Linked DNA regions of Kluyveromyces lactis. The main gene of each other region encodes a partner of the protein of the gene in region 2 in a complex. Links are inferred from orthologs where the notes say so. Each region holds a gene or a part of one and is shown on either strand. Other genes may lie near its edges. The genes, in order: IOC4 and IOC2.

Region 1 (3,329 bases), about 670 kb from region 2:
GATAGTCTCATGAGCCACTCGTCATGCGCAGCTTCTGCCTATTCCAATTTCACTAAATATTGTCACGTGACCCTCTTTGATCCATCTAGGCCTTCCCTTCTGGATACCACAGGATCCATATGCCCAGTCACTGACGTCTTGGAACTCTGCCGAGCGTTGGATAGCTCACATGACCTACAGGATGCCTGGCTTAAGCCTATCTTACGACACAAACCATAAGAATCTTACACCAAATGCAGTGACACAATTTCACGAGGTGGATACTGCCCCGCCTCCTCGTGGCACCTCGCCTCCCCTCAGGAATCAAGCCGTCATGTGTTGAATAGCCATGAACCCATATCTCAAGAAGACGCCATGGTAAATTCCATTATGAAATATGTTTATTGAGTGAGTCTTCGATAAAACCATACTTGTGTTTCCTTTTGAGTAAAGTAAGTGCAATATATCTTGAGTCGACGTAACGCAGAAGAATATGTATTGATGGAGATGACTCCAGTGAATGTCCCTCTCATTTAAACGTCTTTCTGATACGTTTATCAGTCATCTGTTGAGTGACCTCCAGAAGAGAATTGAAAGTAGTTCATTATTTTTTTTTACATATTCTCCTTACCACGCTGCAGTGCATAACCACTATATTATGGAGAAGAGCACAACCAAGGCCACCCGAAATATAAACAGTCAAATATGCTAAAAGCTTAATTAATCAAGTCGGAAAGCGTGGCTGATATACAAGCTACGTTGTTAAAACTCTTTAAAATGAAGACCACTACCCAGCTGCAGTGACTTGGGGTGACTCTGGATTGGGCTCATTTTTATCAGGCTCTGGTTTGATTATCTGTGCATCTGAAGACCATGATGAAGTATCAAATTGGAATGGATGATCAAAAATTTCTTCGTATGCTTCCAAAAACTTACCCAAAACATTTGATTCTTGAAGAGCTTGCTTTTTCAAATTGAGAAGAACCCGATAGTTTAATAGGAACTCTGGATTTGATAAAAACATTGTCCATAATTCGTTATGCTTTCCTTTCAAAGAGAGACACATGGCTAGTTCATCCGAAATTAAATGAATTAAGTCTGGATCATCGTTTTTATCCAAAATATATTCTATAAGCATTTTGTTAGCAGCAGACAATCTGTCTTTCAACTCTAATTTCAAATCATTATGGATCTCAAGATTTTTTTTGGTAATTAGCTTTGTCGCAAAAGGTGGGTGGGAATCTAATTCTAAGTCCTGGGGCCCTAACCCCACAATCTTCCAATCGACATCATCTTCGTAATGATATATAACTGGCTTAGTTTTTGCTTTTGGTAGGACAGCTTTAGTACTTTTTTTCGTTGCAGCTTTGGCCTTACCTTTGGTTGTGACCTTTGACCTTGACTTTGGTACTGAGGGGCTTTCTTCATCCAGGTCTTCCGAGATGTCACTCTCATCAATAATATCTGTGTCTCTATGTTTATCCTTATTTTTATCATCATCTGTTGTTTTCGTATTAGATCTTGTTGACCTTCTTGGGGCTGGTTTCGGCTTCTTTGCCTTCGTCCTAGAACTGCTTCGAGTTGGTCTCCTCTTCGAACTTCCCTCAGAGTCAACATTTTCCACGTAATCATCTTCGTCTTCGTCATTTTCGCCTTCTGTGTAGTCATCATCATCTGGTTTCCCACTGGATCCATACTCCACAAACTCCCACACGTCAATACCGGTAGTCAAACCTTGTTTAGCCATTTCATAGGCATGGACCAAATTTTTCGAAGTCTTACTGTTAACTTTAGATAAGAAAGCCTCGATCTGTGGTAGTGTCAACTCATGCAAATTACGTGGGTTTAACCAAATGTAGGAATCATCATGAAAAAACTTCACGCAATAATTGGTTAACTCACGAGTAAATTTCTTAAAAGTAAGCACAGGTGAATATTCAATATTCTCAGCACTATCTGAATCTTGGTCTGATTCATCTGGAAGCTTGGATCTATTTTTCGTAAGAATTTGCTGAGGTATTATCTCAAACGGTATAACCATCGCTGGCCATGGTGGATAACCTTTTACTTTTGCAATTACAATATCCGTAGGTTGCAACATTTTTGACACCATTATGAAATGCACAGTTTTCGCTATTGAAGTATACCTAGCAGATACTTGAAACACCAAGGGTTGAATACCTAGATATTCCACAATCCTTAAAGAAATCGCATTTCACAGTAGCAGTTAAGTAACCTGAAATTTACGATTTCGTGTTTAAAAATCATTGAAAATAAAGCTTCTAAGGCAAAAACATTATATCACATGCAAATAGCCAAGCAATAATGAACCTTACCATCCAAGACTGATTATTTGCTACGCTAACCATAAGAATAGTAAACCTTAATTTATAACTGAAATAAGTTTTAGTATACACCAGCGAAGAAAAGAAAATGTACAAATACATATATATATATAGAACTGTCACAAACGATAATTCTTCTCGGAGAAAACCTACAAACGATAGGAGAAAAGGGTCCAGAGGAAACGGGTTATTTATTAAGAAAATAGGAAGAGAGAAGAATTAGGCATAGAGATAATGATATAGTAAAAGGAAAGCTTGTCCTTCAAAGTCTTATATCATTTCTGAGAGTCCATAGAATGTAAAAAAAAATTAATAAAAGGAAAAGGAAAAGGGTTAAAAAGTCAAGTGGTATGAGAGTTTTTCATCAGTTGCGCTTGGATAATTAAAATTTGTACAGCCTCTGATAGCCAGGAAATGTGTAAGAGTCACAGATCTCTGACATGTCGTATCGGTAGTAATTGAATTAAACTTAAAGTCAATTTGTATTGTATCCTATTTCTATTTCATTTGAGTTTAGTTTAGTTTCGTCTCCGCCCTGCACGCTTCTTTGATCTTTCAATTCAACCAGAGAATCGGGAGATCGACGGCCGATCTACAATTCGAACATTTTCGATGACAAGTCATCAAGGAAAGAGAAGGTGGATACAGATATCTTGAACAGTTGTTTCTAGTGCCACTGAACCAGTCAATTTGAGAATAATAAGATCCAGGAAGGAAAGTAGTAGAAAAAAAGGATGTAAAAAAACAGTTAGCTCACAACACGTAGACAGGCATAAATTAACTGATAACAACAACGAAAATATAACAGAACAAAAGTTTGCTTCAAAGTAGTTAATTAGATTCATATGGTTTTCAGCTCTTTTCATGTCTTTCTGTGCCATTTCTTTGAAGTGGTCAGTGTTTCACAGAATTCCAGTTAAGAAATCCCTTAAGTTCAAAACTGGCCATGTTGAGAGTTAACGCCGTTGAAGTATTGTTCGTAGGCGGCAGCATGGTCTGGGTTTA
Region 2 (4,456 bases):
CTTGAGATCTTGTTTCAGCTTGTGCCTTGAATATTTTGTCGTCGGTTCAAATATTCTAGCCTTAGATTTTATATGATTCAATATAGGCATTGGGCCAGGATTCGTCATCGTGTTCAGTACTAACAGCCCCATACTCTTTACTTTCTCTAATTGATAAGTTTTCTTTCCGCTGCCTGCTGCTTGTTTTGATGACCTCTGCTCTAATCCTTCAAATACAAACACGGAACTGATTTATAAGGTTTTAGTTATGTAGCCTTTTGTAGCATTAACCTGGTAGGTGATGATATACGCGTCCTGGACAGTAATTAGGATCCCGTTTACACCTTCTTATGTTATATATCCATCGTTTCATATAAATAAGCACTCTCTAATTATGGAAGATGCCTTCGGGCAATTGATGACGGATGGCAGCTTGACTGAAAAAGAAATCGCTGTTGTCAGCTTTTTCGGGAATTTAATGACTTTTTAGGAAAGACCGCAATTGTTGACCGGAAAAGGGATTTGCAGTCATGTGATTGAAAATCTCAAACGGAATGTGCATCGCGATTATAGATTGTAAATATATATATATATGTATATGCTAATATTACATTTTGCGGCTTACTATTGGGATGCTTGCTGTATTTGCCATGAAGCCGGTTGAGGTTTGTGCTGATCTGGTGTTTGTTGCGTAGTTGGCGACGTACTGGAAGTTACTGGGGGTTGATTTGGTGTAGTCGAGGGTGAGGCAGTTGAAGGTGATTTTGTCAACTCCAGTTGCCTTTTCTTCTCTTCCTTGATTCTGCGACGTTTTTCCTTTTCCTCTGCCTTCTTTCTTTCATTGGTTCTTATTAGTTTCACATCGGCAGCAAAATTTTGTCTTAGTTCAGATTCCATCTCATGTAAACATCTTGACGAGATAAAGGGTTCCATGACATCGAAAGGTTTCCTCTCCGTAGGCCTATTCTCGATGTAAGATGCCTTGCCGTTAACCGATTCGTCCCTTCTCGAAGATCTTCTACGAAGGTTCTCGTCATACATCGTTACCCCTCCAAGTTCTCTGGGTGTTAACATGTGGTCATGTCCATGTGAAAGGATGGCTATTACTGATGGGTCCTGCTCCTCCCAAAGTTCCCATATATGGCTTTTTTCACAACATACTATCTTTTGGTCCTTCACTTTCTTGAAATCGTTAATACCGTGTTTTCCACTCTTGCAATCCAAATACCAATCCTGAGAATCGACTTGATAGTTGTTCGTTGGAATACCAAATTTGGACAGACTGTCAAGATCCTGTTGTGTGATACAAACGTCTGCTGGTAACTCTAATGTCTCCACGTCTTTGTAACTATACGCACTTTCGTCGACTGGAATAATCCATTGTTTAAAACTTCTACCATACCCAAGCACATATGAGTCGACTTCTTGTAGAAACTGCTCGCCATCTATATCTATTGTGTCATCCATGTTTTTCCTCTTTAGTCTCTCTTGTCTAAAATCTTTATCAAACTTTTCCCATAGTAAAGACCATAGGTAATCCTTTAATTTCTTCGTACGTCTTGTTAAGATTCTGTTGCGATGGCGTAAGAATTGTTCTCTGCGGTCAAGCTTGTCATACCATTTCGTTTCCGTCTCCTTCTTTTGATGTCCTTCATCGCGGGCCACTATTCTGGAAGATCTCTTTCTTCTGACCATTAGAGCTTGCATAGACTGTTGTTTCAATCTGTTAGCATACAATTTACGTCCGTAAACCTCTGCCTCTGCATGGTATTCTATTAAGCCTTGGAAAAATTCTTGAAAATCAATATCATCTATCGTTTGTAGATATTCGACGAAGCTTCTATAATCATGTGCTAACGTTTCATAATCGATCTTGACATCATTTAAATAGGCGTCGATCTCATCGGAATAATCCAAATGAATTACGTCTATAGTGGCTTCTGTCTCTTCGACAAGAACACAATTCTGTAACTTTATAGGTATGTTCAATCCGTTTGATTCTGGTTTGACCGATACCTGTTTCCTTATAATCTTTCCAGTGGGTAAGACCACCAAAGAGGTAGCATCATTCTCCCAAATCTCAGGGAATTGGAAGCTATCCAAATGGTTTTGTAAATAGTTCCTAAAACCAATGTTCTTTCTTTCTACCAATTTAATGACATGGAAAATGATCTCGAACTGTTTTAATATGTTGAGATCCGCGAATTTGCTATTGATATCCTCTGTGTACCAAAGTAGAGATTTGTTTAATTTCGAATTAAAAATGTGGTACTTCACTATTTCATCCCAATGTTTCAAGGATACCGTCTTATCCTGTTCTAAAGACCTGATCAACCTCAACAAGATACTCTTGAATAAATTCAGTATATGACCCTCTTCGTCCTGATCCGTGCTGCCCCCATTTGGATCCTCCGATTGAACCAAATCCAACGAATCATTTTCGAGACTCCATCCCGCATTATAATCTAAGAGCATTATTCTTTCATCAAACGTGATTTCAGTCCACCAAGGTTTCCCCGTAGTGAAACCTAGCGTCCAGTAACCAGTACAAACGTTATGGAACCACATCACACTGTACTGATAATACCAGGACTGGATCAATTCCTGCAACGGTACAAAATCCAACGCGATTGGGGGCAACTTATTTAACTGGTTCAAGATTGTTCGGTCGATATAGTCATCCCATTTCACAGCCGTTGTTTCGTAATCTGATTCTACGTCACCATTGGGAAGGGCCGTCTCTTCAGCTTTCGTCTCGACTTTCGTACTGATCTCCTGCTCTTGCTTTGCCTCTTGCTCTGGCTCTGGCTCTGCCCTGCGTCTAAGTCTACTACTTCTCTTCATACTAGACACTATATATTTTTTCTTTTGAATTCCCTTTCTGCAGTTGATTTATAGATCGTGTCGTATCGTATTGAATCGTATTGTTTCCCTATTCTCACAGTTTTTGGTTTCGATACACGACTTTCACCTGCAATTCCAATTCCTCAATTAGAACACTCCAGACTACTCCCTTTTCCACTTGTACGAGGATATAAAGATTAAACTTAAACTCAATATAAATTCTCTACGTTCTAAAATCACTACTTTGAAATCAACATCTTAAACCTGATATATAATGTATGAAGCTTAAAGGCTGTTTGCATTTTGAAGCACAATTCGAAATTTGAAAATTTGAAAAAAAAAAAAAATCGCGAAACCAAATATAAGTCCGGGTAATCGAGTTATCTGCCAATCTTTCATTTTCATTTTTAAGTTCTCGCGCGTTCTTTGCTGTACTTGACAGTTGACAATGCATAATTTACTTGACATTTACGTGAATAGAGGAGGCTTAAATGAATCTTTGACACTGTATAGATCTATAAACATCACTTAACACTTGTGCTGAAAGTTCTTTGTGTATGCCGTTTACTTCCGCTACTCATGTCATCTGGCCCGCCGTCTTATGAGTTAAATACACTTTTCTGTGGTCGTATTATCCCCAATACACCCACACATCACATACTATACTGCAGGTTTTCTTACTCTCTTCGCCTCGCCCTTTTTGCCTCCCCTTCTTGTACGTAATATTAGAAGCAAAGATCTCTTCCATCTCGGTGGGAATTTATTACGAATTAATACAGGGGAACAAAAAAACAAAAAATTAAAAGATATGATTAAAGAATACTTTAGTACAAGTAAACAAAGCCTGGCCTGGTGAAGATAGCATCGTTTTGTCCCTGCTTGTGAGACATTAATCGAGCTTGAAGTTAAAGAATCCATTCCATTCTTTGTCGGAGTTGACGTTAGGAAAGCAAGAAAGAAGTACAGTGTTTTCTACTCTCTTTTATTTTTTTGGTCCATTTCATATCTCTCTCTTTCTCTTGTTTTCTGGGTTGTCATTGGCCTTTGGATTGAATTGGGGAGTGACGAAACGATATTTAGAACCAATCTTGAATTGATTACTTTCACAGTACACTAGAAGTTGTTTTCCCCCTTTTTCTAGGGTTTGTTTTATTGGTGCCAATTATTTTACTTTGGTTTCGTTTAACTCATAGTTTATATCCACGATGCCTTCAGCTCAAGATTACCACGTAAATCCTCATTTCCATATGGGCGACAGGGAGGGTGAACATCAGCAGCCGCCAATGGCACCTGCTACGCCTCGTATGATGGGTCGTCGAGTCTCAGAGAGCAGTGCTCCGGGACTCATGCCCGCTGCTAACATTGTGAATGATACCACGCAACAACCGCAGCAGCAACCGCAACTGCAGACTGTACCACAGTCTGTCCCAGTACCAGCGCAGAGTTTCAACGATGTGGTTAGTAATAAACCGTTCCATAGGAAATCTTTAGGTGACTGGGATTTTTTGGAAACAGTAGGGGCGGGCTCGATGGGTAAAGTGAAGTTGGCCAAGCATAGATTAACTAATGAGGTATGCGCCATTAAAATTGTTAATAGAGCTGCAAAATCGTATATGCATAAACAAAATCAACT

What was found.
Region 1: IOC2 (region 2) and IOC4 share a complex: the UniProt entries of both Saccharomyces cerevisiae proteins name them as parts of the ISW1B complex. The link is inferred for Kluyveromyces lactis from reciprocal best matches to the Saccharomyces cerevisiae genes IOC2 and IOC4.

The regions. Positions count from the first base shown.
Region 1 is NC_006042.1:2,471,484-2,474,812, forward strand, and holds IOC4 (Ioc4p), read right to left. Parts: upstream 2,093-3,329; coding exon 767-2,092; downstream 1-766. Other genes in the region: KLLA0_F26807g (uncharacterized protein), read right to left, coding at 3,259-3,329. UniProt on the Saccharomyces cerevisiae protein: Functions as a component of the ISW1B complex, which acts in remodeling the chromatin by catalyzing an ATP-dependent alteration in the structure of nucleosomal DNA.
Region 2 is NC_006042.1:1,804,235-1,808,690, forward strand, and holds IOC2 (Ioc2p), read right to left. Parts: upstream 2,824-4,456; coding exon 604-2,823; downstream 1-603. Other genes in the region: GIS3 (Gis3p), read right to left, coding at 1-132; serine/threonine protein kinase KIN2, read left to right, coding at 4,029-4,456. UniProt on the Saccharomyces cerevisiae protein: Functions as a component of the ISW1B complex, which acts in remodeling the chromatin by catalyzing an ATP-dependent alteration in the structure of nucleosomal DNA.